4 linked regions of the Drosophila melanogaster genome follow. The protein of the gene in region 4 interacts with the protein of the main gene of each other region in a pairwise test. Each region holds a gene or a part of one and is shown on either strand. Other genes may lie near its edges. The genes, in order: trem, Leash, BicC and AP-2mu.

Region 1 (3,911 bases), 2.4 Mb from region 4:
AGGGCTGTCATAACTAGAATAAAAGAGATATATTTCTGTTAATCAGCTTTAATGTCAATTAATTGTTAACAAGTCTTGATAAAAGTTACTTCAAATCTAAATCTTAAGACATCCACGGAAGTTTCTAACGTTAAATACACTTTAGGATCCACACCAACGAACGACCGTACAAATGCGAGTTCTGCAGCAGGTCCTTTGGCTACTCCAACGTCCTCCGGGTTCATCTGAAAACCCATACCGGTGAACGACCATTTAGCTGCCAGTACTGCCAGAAGTCCTTCTCCCAGCTGCACCACAAAAACAGCCACGAAAAGTCACACAAAAGGACGAAAGAGGTGAAATGATTGCAGTGACTAAGAGGAAACATTGAGGTGCAAATTAAATAAGTTTCTCGTTGAAAATTGTACAATATATTAATGGATAAGTTCTAAGCCATAGGGCACCGCCATTAAAATTTGTCATTTTTCCTTATTTAATTTTTTATAAGAAGTAAAAAACAAATTGTACAAAAAAATATATCCTGTGTACATTTATTTGCTTAATGGAAGAACTTAAACAACGGCTTACTAAATACTTAGACTAAACTTTGCATAAGAACTAAAAAGAACATGTCACTCTTTGGGGAGTTCATTGAGAAACTCCGGCGTTTCCCCCTTGACATCTTCTGCTTTGGTGCTCTCTTCTGCGTCATTTCTCCAGGTGATACGTCTATTATGCGTTTCCCGATGCAAACGCAATTTGTAGGCCTTCACAAATCCTTTGCCACAAAGATCACAGCTGAAAGAGAATAGCTATTATTGCAGGATAATGAAGTAGTAAAATATGTTGATGCTTACACATGCGGCTTCTCCCCCGTGTGAATCATCTTGTGGAACTTCAGGTTGTCCGAGTAGGTAAACGTTCTGGAGCAAACGTCGCACACGTAGGGACGCTCCTTAGTGTGAATTCTGGAGAGAAATAATGTCAGTTTAATTTACTTTCAACTGTTTCGAATATTTCTCACCTATGATGTTTGGTTTTCGTGGATCGATCGGCGAAGGCAGCTGGACAGTAGTTGCACTTGTATGGTCGGTTCCCCGTGTGAGTGTTCATGTGCCGTACCAGCTGTTGATTCTGCACAAAGCCTCTTCCGCAGATCCTATAATAACATCCTATTAGCCATAGTTACTATTTACTTTCAACTTTTAAACCTACTCGCACTCGTGTGGTTTAACACCAGAATGGAATTTCATGTGCTCGGTGAGACGCGCCTGAGTCGGATAGATATTTCCGCACACATCGCAGATGTATGTGCTCAGCTTGTTGCGCGGCTTTCTGCCCACCTTCTTTTTGAAGGTTTCCACTTTTGGGCTATTCTTGTGGTATGCAACTGGCTTCCTGCCCGATCGGTCGCATTTTTCCGGCTTAGCATGAGTTGGGTCATAATCTTCGTCAGAGTCGAGTATGTCTTCAGCAATTTCTTCTTCGGGCGGCTCCTCTGTGGCAACATCTGTGCCGGTGGAGCCTTTTTCCTGTGCGATTTCCGGCGAGTTTTCGTTGGTGAGCAGTTCGTATTCCTCGTATTCAGCATAGGTTTCAGCCTCCTCGATCTCATTTGGCACCGGCTGCGTGGGATCGTGCACATCGAACATATTGGTATCATCAGTATCACCATCCTCCACGACATAGGTGATAACCTGATGTTGCTGATCCTCCTCGCCCTCCACTTTCATGCCGCCATCCAGCTGACTGGCGTAGTCCTCCCACGACTTCAGTACGCTCTCCACCGAAAGGTCCTCCGCGATGCTAAGCAAATCCCCTTCGCCGGCGGCGTTAGCATTGCTGGCCTCCCGGTCCAGCATGTCCATAATGTGCTGATGGGATCGCTGGCATGTCAGACGGAACTTGTAGCAGAGCCGCAGGCAGCGCACGCACTTGCTGCACATCTTGTCCGGGAAGTTGTCATCTAGGCTGACCTGTTTGGGTTGGAATAATTTAAAATGGGCAAACCAAGCAGGATTCACACTTACTGGAATGCCTGCGCAAATGTGCAGCATTTGGTCCAGTCGCGTGCTTGCCGTTTCGCTGAATATGTCGTGGAGCAGCTCCTCGCCCTCGCTGGGATTGTTCAGGCAAACGCGGCACACCACCCACTTCTCGTTGGACTCAGTTTTCATGGCTAATTCGATAAAACAATCACTTCGGTTGTTGCAGAAGATTCAAACAGCTGAATTTAAGCGTCCACGGCCACTGGCCATTCACAGCGAAACGCGCCCGCCAAAGTTGATACGGTGAATGCACGTTATGAACGACTACATGGAGCGTACAGGGTACATAGCTGTATGTGCACTTTTTACCAAACAAATGTTTTAAATAATTTTTTTTTGGTAGAAAATAATATAAAAATGCGCGTCATTTTATTAATTTTATTTTCAATTTACAAATATTGAAGGAAAATGGTTTTAAGTTCGTTTATATAATAAAAAGGAAAAGCACTATTCTATCAAAGTAGTTTTGTTTCAGTACAGTAATGACCACACTGTCTTATGGAACGATGGAACTTTACATGAGCTTGACATATAATATTGTATTAAACTGCTTAATCAAGCTTTTATATATTTAAATTGTAAAACACTTGAATTCCAATTTTACTGATTTATTTAACTGCCCACAAAATGCATTCGTATTCTTAATTATATATTTAATATTTGAAGTAGCGAATGGAATACCCTTAGCGTCGACTGTGGTCACCCTGTGTGGCGACATTCGCATTGCAACGCGTGCACTTCGCTCCAGACTACAATCTATTTTTTTGGCGTCGTCTTCGTCCAGCGAGCGTGTTATTATAAATATTATAGCGGAGGGTAAGTAGCCTCCTGGAAGAGATCCATCTCCTATTCGCGACAATGAGAGACTCGGCAGCACATGCGAGTCCGGCGGCAGCGGCAACGAGCACGCAGAAGTGGATCGTTTGCCGGGTTTGCCTGCAGCAGCCCAAGGAGCCCATGGCCAGCATTTTCAACGACGATTCGGAAAAGGATCTGACCCACATGATTCGCGAGTGCGGCGGAGTGCCCGTAAGTTTGTCCCATTGGACCCCGAACCATATAACAATGCAATTTCCTTGGCAGATCAAACAGTTCGATCACTATCCGGACAAGATATGCGAGAAGTGCTTCAAGGTGCTGAAAATGGCATTTAAGTTTCGAGAGACCTGCCAAAGATCGTACGGCCATCTGCGCCAGTTCGTTGGACCCGTAGAGGTGGAGCAGCGACCACCGGAGAAAAAGGGCTCAGAGACAGCCACCAAGCTGGAGCCGGATGTCGATCCCGATGAGGCGGAGCAGGAGCCAGAGCATGACGAGGAAGACGAGGATGTGGACCTGGACGAGAGCCACTATGCCGAGGCGGACGATGCCGCCGAAACGCAGGGTGGTGTCTTCCATGACGAGATTGAGGATGGTATCCTCGTTGAGCTGGAAAAGGATCGGATTGTGCACGTGAAGAACGAGCAGGTGGAGGAGGACGGCATAATCGAGGAGGTTTATGACGTGTATGAGACGTACGAGGGCGACCTCATCCCAGATCAGGGCTATGACCACGAGATGGCCGATCAAGCCCTGTCCGAGTTATCTGCCGAAATCGAATACCTGGACCAGGTCGAGCATGATCAGTTGACCGAAAGTGCCCACGAGGATGATGCGGAAGTCGATCTGAACTCAACCGAAGAGGAGTTCGTTCCCTCAAAAAGCGTTCGCGCGTCCATCCATGCGCGGAATGCCACCAAGCGGAGAGTGAATCCCCGCAGGTCAGCTACATCGACGGCCTCGGTGGCTGTAGAATCGAGTACCTCCAAGACAACTGACCGCGGCAATCCACTTAAGGTACGGCGGGGTAACAGTGATTCGGCTGGCAGCAAAATGAGCATCAAA
Region 2 (4,890 bases), about 12 Mb from region 4:
GTGGGTGCATTGGGCGGAATGGTAGCCCGGAAGGGAAAGACGTACTTGCCGGTGGGCAACTCCAGCTGCGAGCCACCGGCCTGGCCGTAAACCGGCTGGTCAGTGCTGTAGTAGACCTCGGTGGTGGTGTGGGTCACCAGGGACTTGGTCGTCTTCCCATCCTCTCCCACTCGCTCCTCGCTTTCCTGCCAACGCGTCTCGCCGTATCCATTTATGGTTATAAAGATCGCTGCAATTGGATTAATTTGTCTGTACTGCCGGGTATGTAATTCAATTATGCATTTAGTTTAATTGCCATTGACCTTGGACCTTTTGTGTGTTTCGGATGTAGAATTGTATTGGAAAATTGCTCAGCTACAAACAACTGTCTTTGTTAATGAACTAACAATAATTTAATCAGAAGCATAAAAAAAACGAATGCTACCTAATAAAGTTCACCATCAAATTAAAGCGCTGCTAAGGCTCGACTATTTGATACCCTAGGAAATATTTGATTATTTGAATTTGAACCGATGGCTAGGGTCCACTTAGCTTGCTAATGGGATTTGTATAAATTTATATATATATGTATATCTGCATGAATTACGCCTAATTGACCCAAAATGCTACCTATACACTACAATTTAAAGGTATTGGCACGAACGGGCTGACCAGTAACTGAATCAAATATCTAATAATACAAACAGCGTACGCAATTTCAAAACAAAACTAGTTTTTACGCCGCTATCAGATATCCGCCAGCCAGCCAAGCGGCCACATGTGTGTTGTATATAAACTTTATGTATACATACATATATGTACATTTGTATATACAATACACATCTTTCAAGCATATCTACCGGCAACAATAACATTAAACCAGCGGATAACAAAGCACCAACAATATTAAGTGGATATTTATTTATTAGTGGATGGTAAAACGGTATGGGATTCAGAATTTGAATGGTGATGGAGGGGGATGACGTCATGGTTTCGAGTCCATTAGAATACATATGTATGTAGTGCGTCTTCTTCCGCATGTCGGTGTCACTTACATCGAATCGTCTTGGGGCGCTCCGTAATCAGTTCCGCCGTGCCGGAGATAAGCTGACCGGCTTGATAGAGCCCCAAAGGATTGCTGTCGAAGACGAAGTTCACCTTGCTGCTCATCCTGTCCAGAATTGGCTCCTTGGCGACGGTGTCGGGTGGTATCGCGCTATCAAGTTCCTTTGTTTGTTTTATTGATAGTTGGTGGAAGAGGTAGGGATTCGATGTATTCGAGGGTTCCGGCGACTCAGCTCGCAAGCTCCGAACGCGAGCAGCTCTGGCTTAATACTGAATTCTCAAAAGTCTTTGGTGAGACCGAAGAACCGAGAAGCAAACTTTTGTGCGCGAGAGGTTACAAGAAGAAGAAGCGAAGGACAGAACGGGGAAGCACACGAAATACTATATGGAGCATTATGCTGCTAAGCCAACTAAAGTTTAATCTTAATAAAATATGTATGTATGCTTCAATCATCGCTGACATCTAAGCTGAGCGTTTTGTTATCTATACAGTAAAATATTTGGTAATTATTATTCGTAGTGAAATATATCAACTTAAATTATTGGCGATATTCAAACAGAGAGTTTCTTCTTCTCTTTTCAAACATCAAACCATAAAAAAAGACCATTACTACCAAGCATTTCTGAACTCTTGCATTACAACTGAAAACAGTGCATTTAAGAAACGCTGTTTAGAACTTAAACTTTAAATTAGACACATTTGAAAATACCGATTAAAAAGTCTGCGAATTAACCGCTTCAGCTGGCCAGGCGCCCGGTGGCAGCACCGCGCAACAGCTGTTCGTGCTATCGGACCGCCGCTCTCACGGTTATCGAAAGAGAGCTGCAGCTACAACAAAAAAGCGTAACTCACGGATCTCGTAAATTTATAAGAAATTTAATTATTCAACCCGCCAGCGGACGACAGCAATCGAATTAAATTAGCCCGGGGTGTGCGACCAACACTTGTGGGCCATTGCGAATTGATGGATATCGAGATTCCCCAAGAACTGGCCACAATCAGCGCGAAAAAGCTCCCACTCACCGCGCGGTGTGTGTAGTAACATCAAATCGTAAATCGTGAGGCGAGTGCGTGTGGTGGTGCTACTATTCTGCATATACTTTAGGGTGGTGCGGGCCGTGGTGCTGCAGTGCATCCATGTACGTTTGTATGTGGCGGCATTTTGATGACGAAATTATTTTTGGATAAGTGCGTGAGGAAAGTGGCCAAACCGGAGGAGTCATCACCATCAACGCCAGCGGAATGGAAAGCGAGCGGCTGCGAATCACGCTGGACAGCGCGGATCGGGTTTACTTTGCGGGCGACATAATTCGCGGCGAGATCTGGATGAACGTCAACAAGCGCACCAAAATACGCGGTAAGTGCCAGTCGAGCATAACTTGCCGCTTCCTGGAATGCACATCTCAAAGCTCGGCTTGCATCATCCATGACTCAGCTGTAGACACGCAGAGAAAGTGTTTCAAAACCCTACATTTAACGTTAGGCTCTTAGTTTATGATTCTGGGTATTGTTTACATGTGTACATATAGATCGTATTACCGAAAAGATTTAGCTTAGATATAGTAATCTAATATTAACAAAGATGGTTTTCTGCACAACCCATCATGTACTCCACAAATAGAAATGTGCTTTTTTCTGTTTTGTCAGCGGTTTGCAATCCATTGTCCGCCCGATGGTCAGCTGGACTTTCGTTGCGGCCCCATTCGCATAAACAAAGAACTCCATCAGTTAACAAAGCACAGCGGCCATTTTATGGGGCTTCCTCCCCCTCCGCTTCACCGCAATTTCGAGATTCTTGCTCGCAAATTCCTCTAATTGCCTTCGGCGCTCGCCTTTCATTCATCGATAAGCTTTCAATTGCCGCCCGTTGCAATTGCAATTGAATTTCTTTTCGTTCTTCACGATTCTTGAGTACTGGCATTTGTTTCAGGAAATGCCAACCCAAACGCATCGCGCGAGAGGGGAGTGTAGACGGTGGGGGCATGTGCGAAGAGAGGCACACTCAGTTGGCGTGCCGAAAAAGCCGTAATATTGGGCCAAGCGCAAGTCGGGTCTAAATGAGAGAGAGGTGAGAGGGCGCTCGCAGCACAGTGGTGGCCACAAAGGGGTTTATATAGGTTTTTTTTTTTAATTATCCAGAAATAAGATTCCCAGTAATGGTATATTCCGAAGTATAGTGTTTAAAAGGCAAACAGCTATCTCCATTTTATTATGAAGTATACCTTTAAAACAATAAGTGGTTTATTGAATTTTTTATAAATGACTTAAAGAATTTTAAATCTGACATAATTGGGCGCCCTTGACTGTACAAGCGCCTCTCTGTTGTGATTTGCCACTATACAGGTGTGCGTGAGAACAGCAGCTGGTCCGTGCATGTGTGAGTAAGAGAGCGCGAGACTAAACGGGAGCGCCACACTATCCCATATTTTTTAGAAATTAATGCGCTACGCGATAAAATGAAGGGCATTTGGGTGTCATGAGGTGAAGCTAAAAGTGTTGGCTTCACGCATGGGGCCAAGGGTTTGTGGACATTGCCTAAAAATAGATCGACGGCTGTCCGTTAACTGCCCAAAAGTCAAAGTCGGCTGTTATCAGCGCATATATATATATATTTATATATATAAAAAACGCGATTTATTATCAGAGCACAGAATACGAGTACAAAAATATGTTTATACAAAAAAGGGGGGAGCTGCAAGACATGCTCATGAGGGGAATGATATCTGTGGAAGAAGGAATACATGACAGCTGCTACTGTGTAAGGCTTCGCAATTACATTAATTATACGCCTGTTCCTCTTAACCGGCCCACAAACATACATATTTCATACGTATTCATTTATATATATCTAAATATATTATGCACTTAATTGAACACAGCAGTTTATCGTTAGTTTGTGCACATTGGATGTAATTTCGGGGTTGCTCCATTACGCATTTATGCGGTCGTTGAGGAAAAGCTCCATCATCGGCCAGATCTCCTTTGTCTGTTTTCCCTTGAAAGTGGCAACCAGACCCTTCTTTTCGTACCAGGCTATTACCGGGCTCATCACCTCATCGTAGAGCTCCAGTCGCTTGGCCACCACATGGGGTTTATCATCTTCGCGTTGCATCAGCGGCTCCCCCGTCACATCATCTTTGCCAGGCACTTTGGGATTCTTGAAGCCAATATTGTACACCCTGCCGGAGGGCGCATGGATCCAGCGATTCTTGACCCGGTCGATAATCACACTATGTGGAACGTCCAGCGTGATCACGGCATCGATTTGCTCGCGTGCAGCCAGTGCCTCGGCCTGGGCTATATTGCGCGGGAATCCGTCTAGGATGTACGACCTGTTGCCTACCTCGGTTATCCGGGCCAGCATCGTCTTGGTCACAATCGCGTCGGGCACCAGTTTACCTTCAGCAATGTACTGCTTGGCCTTTTTTCCAAGTTCTGTGTTTTTTATGATGTTCTGGCGCAGAATGTCCCCCGTGGAGATGTGCACACATCCATGGTTCTTGCAGATCAATTCCGAAATAGTTCCTTTGCCCGAGCCGGGGGCTCCGATTATCACAGCGCGAAAGATTTTCGTAAACATGTCTAAGCTCTAGTTCTTCAACCTCTCCTTGAGCTGCAAGACAAAAAATTGAATTGATACATGGTTAAATTTAATATGATATGATAAAAAAATTCGGTTTATCTATTTAATATAGGATCTGTTTTTATATTTTGATTTAGGGTCAATAACATATAATCTTGGCAGTAAAACCAAAATTATTTCAGTTGACCATACTCGACTACTTTTATGGGCGATAAGACTATCAAGCACGCCACAATTGTTTGATACAGAGGTGATGAAGGTC
Region 3 (7,953 bases), on a different chromosome or scaffold from region 4:
CAGCGTGTGAATGGCCGTCAGCAGCTTCTTGCGAGCTCCAAACGCCGCGATACCCAGCTCCATCAGGTTTTCCTCGGTCAGGGTGGTGAACACCTCCAGGTCGATTTCGTTTAGAACGAATATTTCTGAAAGGAGAAATAAAAACTGTAGTTTTCCCAGGTTGTAAATATAAAATAGTTTGATTTTAAATGCTATATGGATGTTGAACTTTATGTAACTTTATCTATGACTGTGAAAAAACGTTTGCGTTAAATAAAACACTCTCCAGTTCAAGCCAGACATATATGATAGCTTTATAAAAGACTTCTAGTACACAGTTGGTAAAAACGGACATGATCGGCGGAGCTACTCACTGATGTAGTGCTCCAGACCCAAACTGGTGAGCAGAGTCTGGATGTCCTTGTGCTTGGCTAGCTGCATCCGTCGGTTGACTGGAGTGGCGTCCAGGAGTCCGGTGGTGGCACTCAGTCCGTAAGGGGAACCCAGTCCTGGTGGCAGCCGCCACCCACTAGATGCTCCTCCACCAGCAGCCCCATTTTCCCCGTTCTCCAGCGGGGCAGGGGCGGGCGAGGTGCTGCTCAAGCCCATTCCCATCCAAGCGGTCGTGGGTGTTCGCAGCTCCCCTGCCACCGGGGTGCGCTCCATGGCTTTGTAGCCCAGGGCCCGTTTCATGTCGAAGTCAAAGGCACGGTGGCCGGAGTGCTTGTTTCCTCCAAGGTCATAGTGCAAACTCCGATAGCTCTCGGCACTGCCGGGCAGGAGGTGGGCTCCTCCGGAGTTACCTCCTCCACCGTTGGAATTACTCAGCCCCAGCAGCACTCCATCGCTAAGGCGTCGTCCCAGACGCGCCCCACCACCACCTCCGCCGCCAACGCCACCACCCTCACTGCCGTAAGTGGAATCTGGCGAATAATGCGCCCGATTTTGGCTTCCCGCGGTGGAGGATGAAGTGGACGACACGGTGCCCGGCAATTGGGCATACGGCGGATACGACTGCTCCAGGGAGGTGGTGCTGCTGCTAAAGCTCTGGTAACCACTGGTATTCTGACTGCAGCTGTTCCGTGGCGAAACAGTCGGCGGTTTGAGAGGCGGCGCCACCGCTCCAGGAACCTGCAGATAGTTGCCATTGTTGCTCTGCCCACCAGCCACCATGGAACGATTCTGAGCCTGTTGGAAGCTGTTGTGCAACTGCATATATTTTTGGGTGGGCGCACACACCCCAGTGGGCGTGGCCAAGCCATTGGCGTTCAACAACAGGTGATTGTTGTTGGCATAGGGCGTCAGTTGGCCAGCCAAGGAGGGCGGCAGCAGCGATGGAGTCTTCGGGCTGTCCACATACCCAGCCAGCAGAGCAGTTAACTGGGTGCGGTAGGCGAGATTAAGGTCTTTGTCCTTTGGCATGAAGTAGTAGTCGGGGATCTCGGGCTTCACGAATGGCGTGGCCAGGCGCAGGATCTCCTGGCGGGCCTCGTAGATTTTGTCTAAGGAGGGTGACAACAACGGATTAATACGGAAATTTAATTCAGCACTTGCTAAATATCTTAAATTGTATAATATATCTAAAAAGTAAGGAAAATATGGGATAAAAATCAAACAATAATGGAAAGTGCAATCGTATATTAATGCAGAATCAACGAAAATCATACACTTTACACATTGCTTTAGAGATCTTACCTATAAACTTCTCCACTCCCTTGACCACAATGGCCAGGGTGCTCTGCCGCTGTTTCTGGCGCAACGTGATGTAGACGCCGTACTTGGTGTTGAGGCTCATTATTTCGGATGCATCGTTGTGGTTGTCCGGAAAGTCAAAAATCAATGCTACGGGCAAATTGCCAAGCAATTGTTGTCGCGCCAAGTAGACGTCGTCGATGCGTCCGCTGATCGTGACCTGGGACTTCTTCAGGGGCTTCACGTTCATGTCGCTCAGATCGGGGAATATGATCTTGGTCTGGGTTCGCTCCATAATGCTCAGCAGATTCACGTTGTTCTTGCCCTTGACGATTTCGTGATGCTGCGGCGAGATCTCCATCTGGACATTCACCAGGATTTGGCTCTAAAAAGGAAAAAGGATTCGCTGATGAGCCTTATTTTGAGTTATCCTTCTCGAACCTACCGCAATACTCTCACAGGCGAAGTTGATCAGCAGCTGCGTGGCATCTCGGACCTGCGCCGATTCCTTCTCGGATCCCTTGACCAAAACCAGCGAGGTATGCAATTTTGGACGCGTGGAGAATATGACCTGAAAGGAGGAAAAATCTTTAAAATATATTCAATAATAATTAAGAGCAACGAAAAAACTGTTTACAAAAATCCTTGGTTGTAATTTAAGGTTGCCAAATTCGAAAATAACGTTTAAGTAACTTTATTACTTTAAATGCGTTCTAAATCACTTAAAAATATATAATAATAACACAACTGCAAAATTAGCCTAATGTAACATCAGTTGATAAAATTATAATGGAGCAATATATAATCACAACTCTCAAGGGTTGGGAAAAAAAAATTTGACATTTTCTATACCCCCTCTTAAATGTATGTATGAATGTATATTACAAAATCTTACCTAAATTAGTTAAACTAATCAAGCCATTATAGTCAAATGCAAATAATATTTGGTAACATGCCATGATTAATTTATAATTAATTTATAATCTTACACTTAGTTGACTCCGACATCTGGAACTCACCTGAACATTGAACTTGGTCTCGATCATCTTGATGTAGGGAGTCTCGTGGTCGGGCTGCGGCTTGTTGGGTCCCATTACGGGCATCTCGAAGGAGATGAGCAGCGGTGTGGAGAGCCGAACGAGAGCCCGGGCTCGCTCCACGCCCTCTAGGCTGCCGCACAGCGACACCTGGTTGGATTTCTCCGTGGGATTGGAGCGATTCGAGTCGGGGAAGTGGATATGGGTATGCGTGTCGTCCATTATGCGCTTGATGTTGTTGCCACCTCGTCCGATGATGTACGAGTGATCCGTGTAGCTGACGTCCATTTTCATGATCACTCGAGTGCCCTGTTCGGAGAAAAATGGGTAACAATTAAAACAGATAAGTTTGTATTATGCTTTGGCTCACTCACCCTGGAGTCAAGACTGCTAAGGATGCGCTCCTTTGCCCGCTGAACCTGATCCACCTTTCCCACAATTCGCACATGGGGATCTTTAAATTATGGGATTTATTTGAAAAATACTCTTGAACATTGAAAATATTTCAATATCCTACCCTTCTTGCTCTTGGCACCAATTTTGAGTCTGCAAGGCCAGCTCACATAAGTATCCGTAGTGTTCATGATCTAGTAAAAGAATATGTTTTGGATATATGGCGAATTCTTTTATATCAAGTCAAAAGAGTCGGTCCTAACAGTATCTTAAAACAAATTGGGTTATACACTGAAATTTTATAGATGCAAAGTCAGATTGCCAAACAAAGACATGAATCAATTAACTTAAAAATTTTGCTCAAAAACTAAATAACTTAATATACTATTGAATAGGAAACATATTATTATATGTTCAATATTTATAAGGCATGGCATTCTGTGTCTCAAAATGAGACAAAAGAAAGTGTGAAGCTAATAGGTGCCCAAAACTTAAAAATATGTACTCACGTCATGGAAAAAATATTCAGCTCCATTCATTCCCTCAATGGAGCTCTCCGCTATCAGAAAAAAGGCAATGTATAATAAGGAATCTATTATTTTTATATATAAAGGCATTACCTTTTATTAACTGTTCCAATTTCTGTCGATCCACCTTGAAACGTTCCGTGTGGAGATCGTCTGGGTTTTGAACGCCCAACTTCATGGCGATGGCGCGTATGTCACTCCAATCGCTATCCACGGAGGAGATCTCGCTCTGCGTCTCGCTGGGGGCTCCACTGCCCACCGAGGTGGTCGATGGAAGGGCGTGAAGACTGGACAGGGATCCAATGGATCCAGCTTCCACCTCCAAGCCCACCATTGGCGGTTTGGCAACATCTGCGGCCGACGGATACATCAGTTTATTGAAAGAGGCACAGGACAACATTGTGGAATTCGGATGATGATGATGATCACTGGATCAGTGGATCGGTCAGTGGATCGAGAAATTCGTCAGAGGTCAACAGGTGTGGGTACCAAAAAGTCGTTTAGTTTTAAAAACCAAGCAAAACGTCCGTCTCAGTTAAGGATTCTGGAAGCCGGTCCGTTGTTTGGTCAGCTTTGTTAGATGATTGCTGCTACTTAATGAAGTAAAGTGTATCTGAATTGATGGGATGAGCTGGTGATGAAAAATGAAAGGTCCGAAATGATGTAACAAGAAAATTGATGTTCGTAATAAGAAGAGAGTGGTTAGAAAGCGAGTCATAGGTAATTTAAAGTGAATATTGAAACACCATATAAAAATTAATTATTTTTATTTTGATAGTCGGTACCATAATTTAAGCAATGCACTTTCCAAAAAAAAAAACGATTTTACCTTTAAATTTAGTTCTCTTTTAATTTTTTGCGGTAAATAGTATTTAACTATCAACTGGAATAAGTACTTTTCACTAACATTAAAAAACTTTCTGTCTTAATTTGAAAATCTGTCTTATAAATTTGTGAGAATAATGCCGCGAAAAGGTGAAATAAAAATTCACTAATTAATATTATTATGGATAACAACATTATTATTGGTTCGCCGCCTGTCGAAAATTCCAAACTTTCTTGTGTGTTCTTTCACATAACCTCTCAAAATGGAGTGCTGCTGCCATGAGGTTCGTACTTTCCCCTTTCTCTCGAGATCCCGAAAACCGTAATTTCACCCGTGTCTTCACTTTCACTTCCTTGTGCCCAAAAACCAATGGCGTAACTTACCGCTGGGAGATCGCTCGGTGATCTCTACTTGAGATTAAATAGGCCCTGGAGGTCCAGACAGATGGCGTGCGAGAGGTCCTGGACGAATTGGATGGCCTCGACGAGGCAGACGTTCATAACAAAATTACGTATTTGTTGAAATCTCTCGACGAAAGGCATTTAAGGTGTGATCTGCGCAATAGAGATCTATATATCAGTATATAGCTGTGTGATTGCGACGGTCTGAGGGGCTTTGTCAGAGTATTGGAAAAATGCAAGTTGGGAAAAATCTCTCTGATTTCTGGGGGACCAGCACTTCTTCTAAGTACGGCTTGAAGGCAACTGAACGCGGCTCTCGATTTCGTCGATCGATTTTGCCCGCTGCTCGACGGCATTTACTTCTAACTGTTGAGCGGATGAATTCCGCAAATCGCTGGCAGGAGAAAATCTGGCGAATATTGTTGTTGCTGGGTCAATGAACCGCTCCCGGAATAAGAGATTCGATTCCATATGTCGAGAGCGAAAAACAAAACAAAGTCGCAGGGAGAGGTGGTGTTCCAGAACTCCAACATAGCTACAACAATTTGCAGAGCAAACGCTTAACAGCGGTTAGAATGTTGCAATGTTAAGTTTGAAATGTTGCCAACCGTTTTCATTCATTTTGGCGCCAGAAAAAACGGTAGAGAAATACGGCACAAAGAGAAACCGACTTTATTCCCGCCAAAAACACGCCACTTACCGTAATGTCAGAAATTCGGATCGTAGCACATACACATAGATATCGCAGGTTAATTTACTTAAACACAATCAATTGTAAAATCTTTTCGACAAATAACACGCTCTTTTCACGTAAAAAAATTGTATATCCGCTTGCTAATTAATTTTGGGCGCAATTAATTTTCCGTCAATTGGTCAAATTAAGGTTCGAATGGGAATTCGGCTGGCAGTCGGTGTATTTTTTCAATGTAACCAAAAAAAATAACCACTATCGAAGTGCGAGTAACAGAAAAACACCACGTGTGTGAAAAACACAAAGGAAAATGCAATGGAGTCTCATGAAAAGCGAAACTGAATTGTTGTCAGAAAATCGTGCACTGCGCGTTAGTTAGTTATATTTGAATATTTTTTAATATTTTATAGCTCTTTTGAATTAATATATTATTAATGGGTTGTGCGCGCCGTGCAGTTGTCGTCATTAAAGCGCGCTGACTATCAAACTAAGCTCGGCATGTGGGTCCCAGTCCCAACTGACCTTCAGATCCAAAAGCTCTGTGTTCTGTGGGGAGTGAAGCCAGTGCACGAACAACCTTAAAAAGCTGCCAGCCAACTGGATAACGGATATTCAGCAATAGCTTTATAACGGGAAACGGAGCTTTTCAAGCTTCTGAAACTCCCCAACCTGCACTTTACCAAAGTATTTATATACAGTGGGTTTTAAAAGTACGCTCACCCTTGTACAACCGGAAATCAAACTTTAAATAAACCAAACTTAAATTACGTAATTAAATGATGACATGTACGAGTAAAAGACGTCAGCAATAGTTATTGAATAGGGGTTACTTTATTTCCTTGCTGCTATTTTACATCACTATTTTGTTTTCTTCAATCTTATTATTACATTTATTCTGGCTTTACACATTTCGGGTTATTTATTGGGGATATGAATATATTATGTGCTATGCATTTGACCGCGTTTTTGATTCTCTTTATAGATCTAAGACTTATCGTTTTTCCTAGCAGCTGGAAACATTCACTGTTTTTTTATCCTACTTTCATATTTCTTGGTTAATACTTTTAATATTTATTCAGTAACATCAAAATGTTTGTCCCATTTTTATGTACATAAAACTAGCTTTTTACATTCTTATACATATGGTTATAGTTTATTATATATATTGGCCATAATTGAAACCATACTGAAATTAAAATTAAAATCCCCTGTCAATGTTTTAATGTAATGGGCATAAATTAGGGAAGACAACTTTCACAACACGATTTGATTACAAAAATCTGGCGGCATGCAGTTTATTATTATATAATTATCTATTTGTATTACTTGTTTTTGCATGTACACCAATTAATTTATATTTCATAAGTTTTATTATTACGTTTTATCATTTTATTTACACTTTAAATATATGTACTGAATTTATAAATTATTCAACATTTATTTTTTATTATTGTTATTTTTTTTTAATATACATTTTCATTTGTTTTTGGGCTACGATTACCCATTGCATACATTGAATTGTGTTTAAGGTAAAGGAACTATTTACCGCTGGATTTTTGTTGGCCAAAAATGTTCAAATAATTCTTTTGCTTTCATCGAGTTTTAATATTGCCGAAACAAGACTTGAAAATAAAGATTCTTTTTCGTTTTAATTTGCTCTATGTATTCGTTGTTTTCTACAAATAAACGCTTGCTATAATAATTAATTTTGCTTTTCATTTCCACAACCGTAAAAAGTTCCTTTCTGTACAGTGGATGTTACAAAATATTAATTTTGTGCTTGGTTTTAAGCTTTTATTTACACATTGACATAATGTCTTCTTCATTCTGAAAGGAGAAAACAAACAAAATAAAGTTATAGTCGATTCTCTCGACTATAAGATACCCGTTACTCAGATGAATACCTTATAATGTTACAAACGATTCCACTAATCTAGAACACTCTTTTACTCTAAAAGTAACGGGTATTAGTATTGACTTAAATTATATTCGGTTGTTTACAATTTTGAAGCTGTCAAAACCCCACTTTAAAATGCACTACGGTACCCGAAAGCTAAGCTCAAGTGCAGTCTAAAGTTCAGCTTGCTGTACACTGTGCACAATTCCTATAACTTTTTGATTTTTTATTTGAATATATTTAACGCTTGATATATAACATAAGAGTTTGAAGTACATAGTATTTATTCTAAGTACATTTTGATTTTCAGTGACTGAGCACACGCATTTTCTCACCCTGTACGTGCCCAGTGCCCAGGCAACTGTGCATTTTTGGTTTGACTTTCCGCATCTCTTAATGTTCTCTTCACTGAGAGCCATTTGTCGTGGCTTATTGTGATCTTTTATTTTTTACAGTAAAGATCTGTTCGAAAGTATCGGGAATAAAAAGTGAAAATACCTTGCTGTAGCA
Region 4 (4,520 bases):
ACGGCGTAACCAAAACAATTCCAAAGAATTTAGTTAATACATAATAAGCTAACGTACAATCTGCTAGAGCATTTCCATGAGTTTTATATCGTTTTTATTATTGTACGTTGCATTAGCTTTACACTGTAATAAATGTTGAATTTGAATAAATCTTTTTATATGAACTACATTAGATGTTTATCACGCGGCTCAACTTCTGGATGCGGTTGAGCAGCAGATCGCCCTGCTTGATGGTCGCCTGGTACTGCCAGTTCTTGTTGTCAGGCCGATTGGTCTCCACAATGCCGCCAACGCGATCCACCTTGGCATGCAGCCGTCCGGCGGCGATGAAGCGTGCCAGCTCCTGGTCAATGTATTCCACTGTTACGCCGAACGACTCGGCCATATACTGCAGGGTGAGGGAGCGATACGACTCCAGCAACTGGGTGTAGCCCAGAATGCGCATCTCGCGCACGTAGTAGCGGTAGTGGGGATGAATGAGGTAGTCCAAGCGCAATTGCTTCTCTACGCCGGCCAGGTGTACGTAGAAGTTCTCATATTGGCAGTTGTACAAGGAAAACAGGAACTGTTTCACGTCGGGCAGGCCATGGAGCACCTCCTGGATTTCGGAGCCCTTGATCACTTTGTCGCGCAGCTCATTGCGCGGCAGGGCAATCATGGCCACGTAAACGGTGTAACGCACGAAGGTGGGGTAGTCCATCAGTTCGTATGAGGTGAAGGTGCTTACGGTGTCCAGGAAGAACGTGGCCGCCGCCTTGAAGTCACGCACCGCCACCGAGTAAACACCCTGGTAGACCTTCAACCGGTTGCGTCGGTCCCAATCGCCGCCTTCCTCGATCAGATACTTGGCCTTGTCGATGTTGCGAGTGATGAGATCGTGGTCAAGGTAAAACAGTCCCAAGCGGATCAGATGGAACACGATGTCCAGGCGGTGACCCAGGGAAACGGTCTTCTCGTAGGTCTTGCGGAAGGCAGTCTCTGCGGCAGCCTTGTCGCCGATGCGGCACAAGTACTCTGACTTCTTAAGATTCGCCTCGCGCACTTCCATCTCGCCCAGATTCTTCTCCGCATCCTCGATTGCCGCATCTAGCTGCTCCACCTCTACGCGGTTGTTCTCCTTCATTCGCGCCAGCAGATCCTTGTCTACGGTCCAGCCGAGTTCCGAGCAGATGTGCTCGTACCACGGGGCCATATTCTCCGTGCGAATCGCCTCCAGAAGCTTCGCCTTCAATGCCGCATCCTGCTTGTATTCCGCCAGGGTAAGCAGGAACTTCGTCTGGGCCAGCTCCAGGTTCGGGTTCTTCTCCAGACCCTGCTCCTCCAAGTTTTCGGCAGGCATTTTGGTCGGATTTGTTGGCTTCGGTTTTTTAAACACAGAAAAATAGTTGATTTTCTTGACAAAACTCAATTTTGTTTTTGTCAAATCGCAGAGTCATGTACTACCAGTGTGACCCCAAAATTATCGATAAATTATACCGCATATTTTTACATTGCCAAAAATACCAGAGCGATGTCCATCAAGATAGCGACGAAATTAGAACAGTGCAATTGCCAATTGGGAATTTGTATTTTAATTTATTTTTAAATTCTGAAAGTAATTTAAATTTAAAAAAAAAACTTGAGAGCTGTCTAGAAAAGAACTGATGTTTCATGATAACTTTGTCGAAGAATTAAGAAATATTTAGTTGTAAAATAATTGTTGAATCTATTTTTTTCCAATAACACGACTTATATATTTTTTGAAAATATTCGAGCTAAATCCCAAGAAGTAAACTCAATCTGGGATTTGAAGTGCCCAGAACTCGAATAAACACTTCTTTTTAAATAATTGTAAGACCGTATCACTTATGGTATATACTGACCTCGAAGGGCCACACTAAGGGGGAGTGAAAATTGATTTTCTGATAAAAATTTTCGCTTGAAGCTACAGCATCGTCCACTGTCCATGTATATATCTTATATTTGCATATAAATATATATATTACACCGACTTGGACTAACCATCAGATAGCGCACAAGATGATTGGCGGCCTGTTCGTCTACAACCACAAGGGCGAGGTGCTGATCTCGCGAGTTTACCGCGACGACATCGGTCGGAATGCCGTGGACGCCTTTCGGGTCAACGTCATCCACGCCCGCCAGCAGGTCCGCTCGCCAGTGACCAATATTGCGAGGACCAGCTTCTTCCACATCAAGGTCGGTGAACAAAGTTCCTATGTCACAATCACCAACCCTCCCACTTATCATCAAAACTCCTTTCACAGAGAGCAAACATTTGGCTGGCGGCTGTGACCAAGCAGAATGTGAACGCCGCGATGGTGTTTGAGTTCCTTTTGAAGATCATCGAGGTGATGCAATCCTACTTCGGCAAGATCTCGGAGGAGAACATCAAGAATAACTTCGTGCTCATCTACGAGCTGCTGGATGAGATCCTCGACTTTGGCTACCCGCAGAACACGGACTCCGGCACCCTGAAGACCTTCATCACACAGCAGGGCATCAAGTCGGCCACCAAGGAGGAGCAGATGCAGATAACCTCGCAGGTTACCGGCCAGATTGGCTGGCGTCGCGAGGGCATCAAGTACCGGCGCAACGAGCTTTTCCTGGACGTATTGGAGTACGTGAACCTGCTGATGAGCCCGCAGGGTCAGGTTTTGTCTGCCCACGTGGCCGGCAAGGTGGTAATGAAGTCGTATTTGTCGGGTAAGTTAGCATAAATAATCTAGACATTATTCCTTTTAATAATCGCCATGTTGTAGGCATGCCCGAGTGCAAGTTCGGGATTAACGACAAGATCGTGATGGAGTCTAAGGGACGCGGTCTCTCCGGAAATTCAGAGGCGGAAACCTCACGCTCCGGCAAGCCCGTCGTGGTCATCGATGACTGCCAGTTCCATCAGTGCGTCAAGCTAAGCAAATTCGAGACGGAGCATTCGATCAGCTTCATCCCGCCGGACGGGGAGTTCGAGCTGATGCGTTACCGTACCACCAAAGACATTTCGCTGCCATTCCGAGTCATCCCGCTGGTGCGGGAGGTGGGCCGCACCAAGATGGAGGTTAAGGTTGTGCTGAAGTCCAACTTTAAGCCCTCACTGCTGGGCCAAAAGATCGAGGTGAAGATACCAACCCCGCTCAATACATCGGGCGTGCAGCTCATCTGCCTAAAGGGCAAAGCCAAATATAAGGCTTCGGAGAACGCGATCGTGTGGAAGATTAAGCGCATGGCGGGCATGAAGGAGACACAGCTGTCCGCGGAAATCGAACTTTTGGAGACGGACACCAAGAAGAAGTGGACTCGGCCGCCCATCTCCATGAACTTTGAGGTGCCATTCGCGCCGTCCGGCTTCAAGGTACGCTACCTGAAGGTGTTCGAGCCCAAGCTCAACTACTCCGACCACGATGTGGTCAAATGGGTGCGCTACATCGGACGCAGTGGCTTGTATGAGACGCGCTGCTAGGGCGCCCAAGCATCCCCATCACGGAGCAAGATTATCACAATTGAATTTAACGAGATGAATGGAGAAAGTGTTACCGCATCTATTGGTATTTCCTCAATCAAATTGAACCAGCAGCTTATGTATTCCAAGATTAGTTCCAGCAAGTCCGGAGGACGCCCGAGTAGCGGATCCACCCCGGACACCCTATGCCGTATACCGCACACACTGCCTCCGCGAGCACTGGTTATGCGGGCGGGGCGTGTTCCCCATAGACATACCACTACTAGGTACTATGATTTACCCTACTATGTAAATGTAAACTATGTTGTTTTTATATGCGTCGCGGGACGTCTCACAAATCTCACGCTCACGTTTCACAACTCTAATTATTATTTGTATTATCGTATTATAAATATATATATATATGTATATTTAATCATTATTTTCATTGTGCAAAGAACAAAGGCGATAAATGCAACTAAGCGTATTTAATAGACCAAAACTCTGTCAGCGCTATCAATATTGATATTCAAGTGTTAATAATATTCGAATTGTTTAATAAATAAATTAGCATGATATATACTAAAAATGATGTGTTTCTCATTGGTGAAAGGGTATCGTTATATGGCTTTTCCCTATATCGAACTGATATGCCCAACAATAGAACGGAAAGGTACGATTACAACCTCATAAATGGGTGATATACAACTTTATGATCAGCCCACAAGTGCTGTCTTCGCTATCACGTGTGCACATTGGTTCAAGATCAGCTAAATCCTGAAATTAACGTCACAATTATTGATGATGTTCAACGAAGTGAAAACTAGTTTCTAGCCATGAATCATCGCACCAATGGAAGTGATCTTTGCGTTTTGGGAAAGCAAAAAAGGGCCTAAAAATGCCAGTTGGCATAAAAGCTTGCTTATCGTGGAAGGGGCTTTTCACAATTTTCCATCGGCGCTAGAAATCAACATTGTCCAATCAGTTCACCCACTGCGATAAAGTTTATTCCGCTGTGTCCATTAAACTATTATTTCTAGGTGTTAGCTGTTGCCAGCGCTGGATAGCCTTGACTGGTTTCGCC

The links.
Region 1: the proteins of AP-2mu (region 4) and trem interact in a two-hybrid assay, tested with the Drosophila melanogaster proteins (one large-scale study listed by BioGRID).
Region 2: the proteins of AP-2mu (region 4) and Leash interact in a two-hybrid assay, tested with the Drosophila melanogaster proteins (one large-scale study listed by BioGRID).
Region 3: the proteins of AP-2mu (region 4) and BicC interact in a two-hybrid assay, tested with the Drosophila melanogaster proteins (one large-scale study listed by BioGRID).

What each region holds. Positions count from the first base shown.
Region 1 is NT_033777.3:20,029,055-20,032,965, forward strand, and holds trem (trade embargo), read right to left. Parts: upstream 2,256-3,911; 5' UTR 2,157-2,255; coding exon 2,010-2,156; intron 1,956-2,009; coding exon 1,195-1,955; intron 1,139-1,194; coding exon 1,004-1,138; intron 948-1,003; coding exon 837-947; intron 778-836; coding exon 612-777; 3' UTR 506-611; downstream 1-505. Other genes in the region: CG4854 (uncharacterized protein), read left to right, coding at 146-344; idc (identity crisis), read left to right, coding at 2,886-3,056, 3,111-3,911.
Region 2 is NT_033777.3:10,883,686-10,888,575, forward strand, and holds the start of Leash (leash), read left to right. Parts: upstream 1-1,854; 5' UTR 1,855-2,287; coding exon 2,288-2,402; intron 2,403-3,659; exon of another isoform or gene 3,660-3,974; coding exon of another isoform or gene 3,975-4,625; exon of another isoform or gene 4,626-4,658; intron 4,659-4,890. Other genes in the region: CG14696 (uncharacterized protein), read right to left, coding at 1-229, 1,035-1,149; Ak3 (adenylate kinase 3), read right to left, coding at 3,975-4,625.
Region 3 is NT_033779.5:16,040,130-16,048,082, reverse strand, and holds the start of BicC (bicaudal C), read right to left. Parts: upstream 6,037-7,953; 5' UTR 5,556-6,036; intron 5,167-5,555; exon of another isoform or gene 5,009-5,166; 5' UTR 4,997-5,008; coding exon of another isoform or gene 4,862-4,996; 5' UTR 4,838-4,861; intron 4,260-4,837; 5' UTR 4,029-4,259; coding exon 3,722-4,028; intron 3,661-3,721; coding exon 3,611-3,660; intron 3,532-3,610; exon of another isoform or gene 3,296-3,531; coding exon 3,226-3,295; intron 3,163-3,225; coding exon 3,083-3,162; intron 3,018-3,082; coding exon 2,691-3,017; intron 2,243-2,690; coding exon 2,117-2,242; intron 2,057-2,116; coding exon 1,675-2,056; intron 1,482-1,674; coding exon 354-1,481; intron 126-353; coding exon 1-125. Other genes in the region: CG45084 (uncharacterized protein), read right to left, coding at 4,862-4,996. UniProt on the Drosophila melanogaster protein: RNA-binding protein that is involved in oogenesis. Required for correct targeting of the migrating anterior follicle cells and the establishment of anterior-posterior polarity in the oocyte. May act as translational repressor of oskar during oogenesis.
Region 4 is NT_033777.3:22,460,584-22,465,103, forward strand, and holds AP-2mu (adaptor protein complex 2, mu subunit), read left to right. Parts: upstream 1-1,871; 5' UTR 1,872-1,947; exon of another isoform or gene 1,948-2,007; 5' UTR 2,008-2,019; coding exon 2,020-2,196; intron 2,197-2,264; coding exon 2,265-2,703; intron 2,704-2,759; coding exon 2,760-3,457; 3' UTR 3,458-4,020; downstream 4,021-4,520. Other genes in the region: Rpn7 (regulatory particle non-ATPase 7), read right to left, coding at 170-1,339.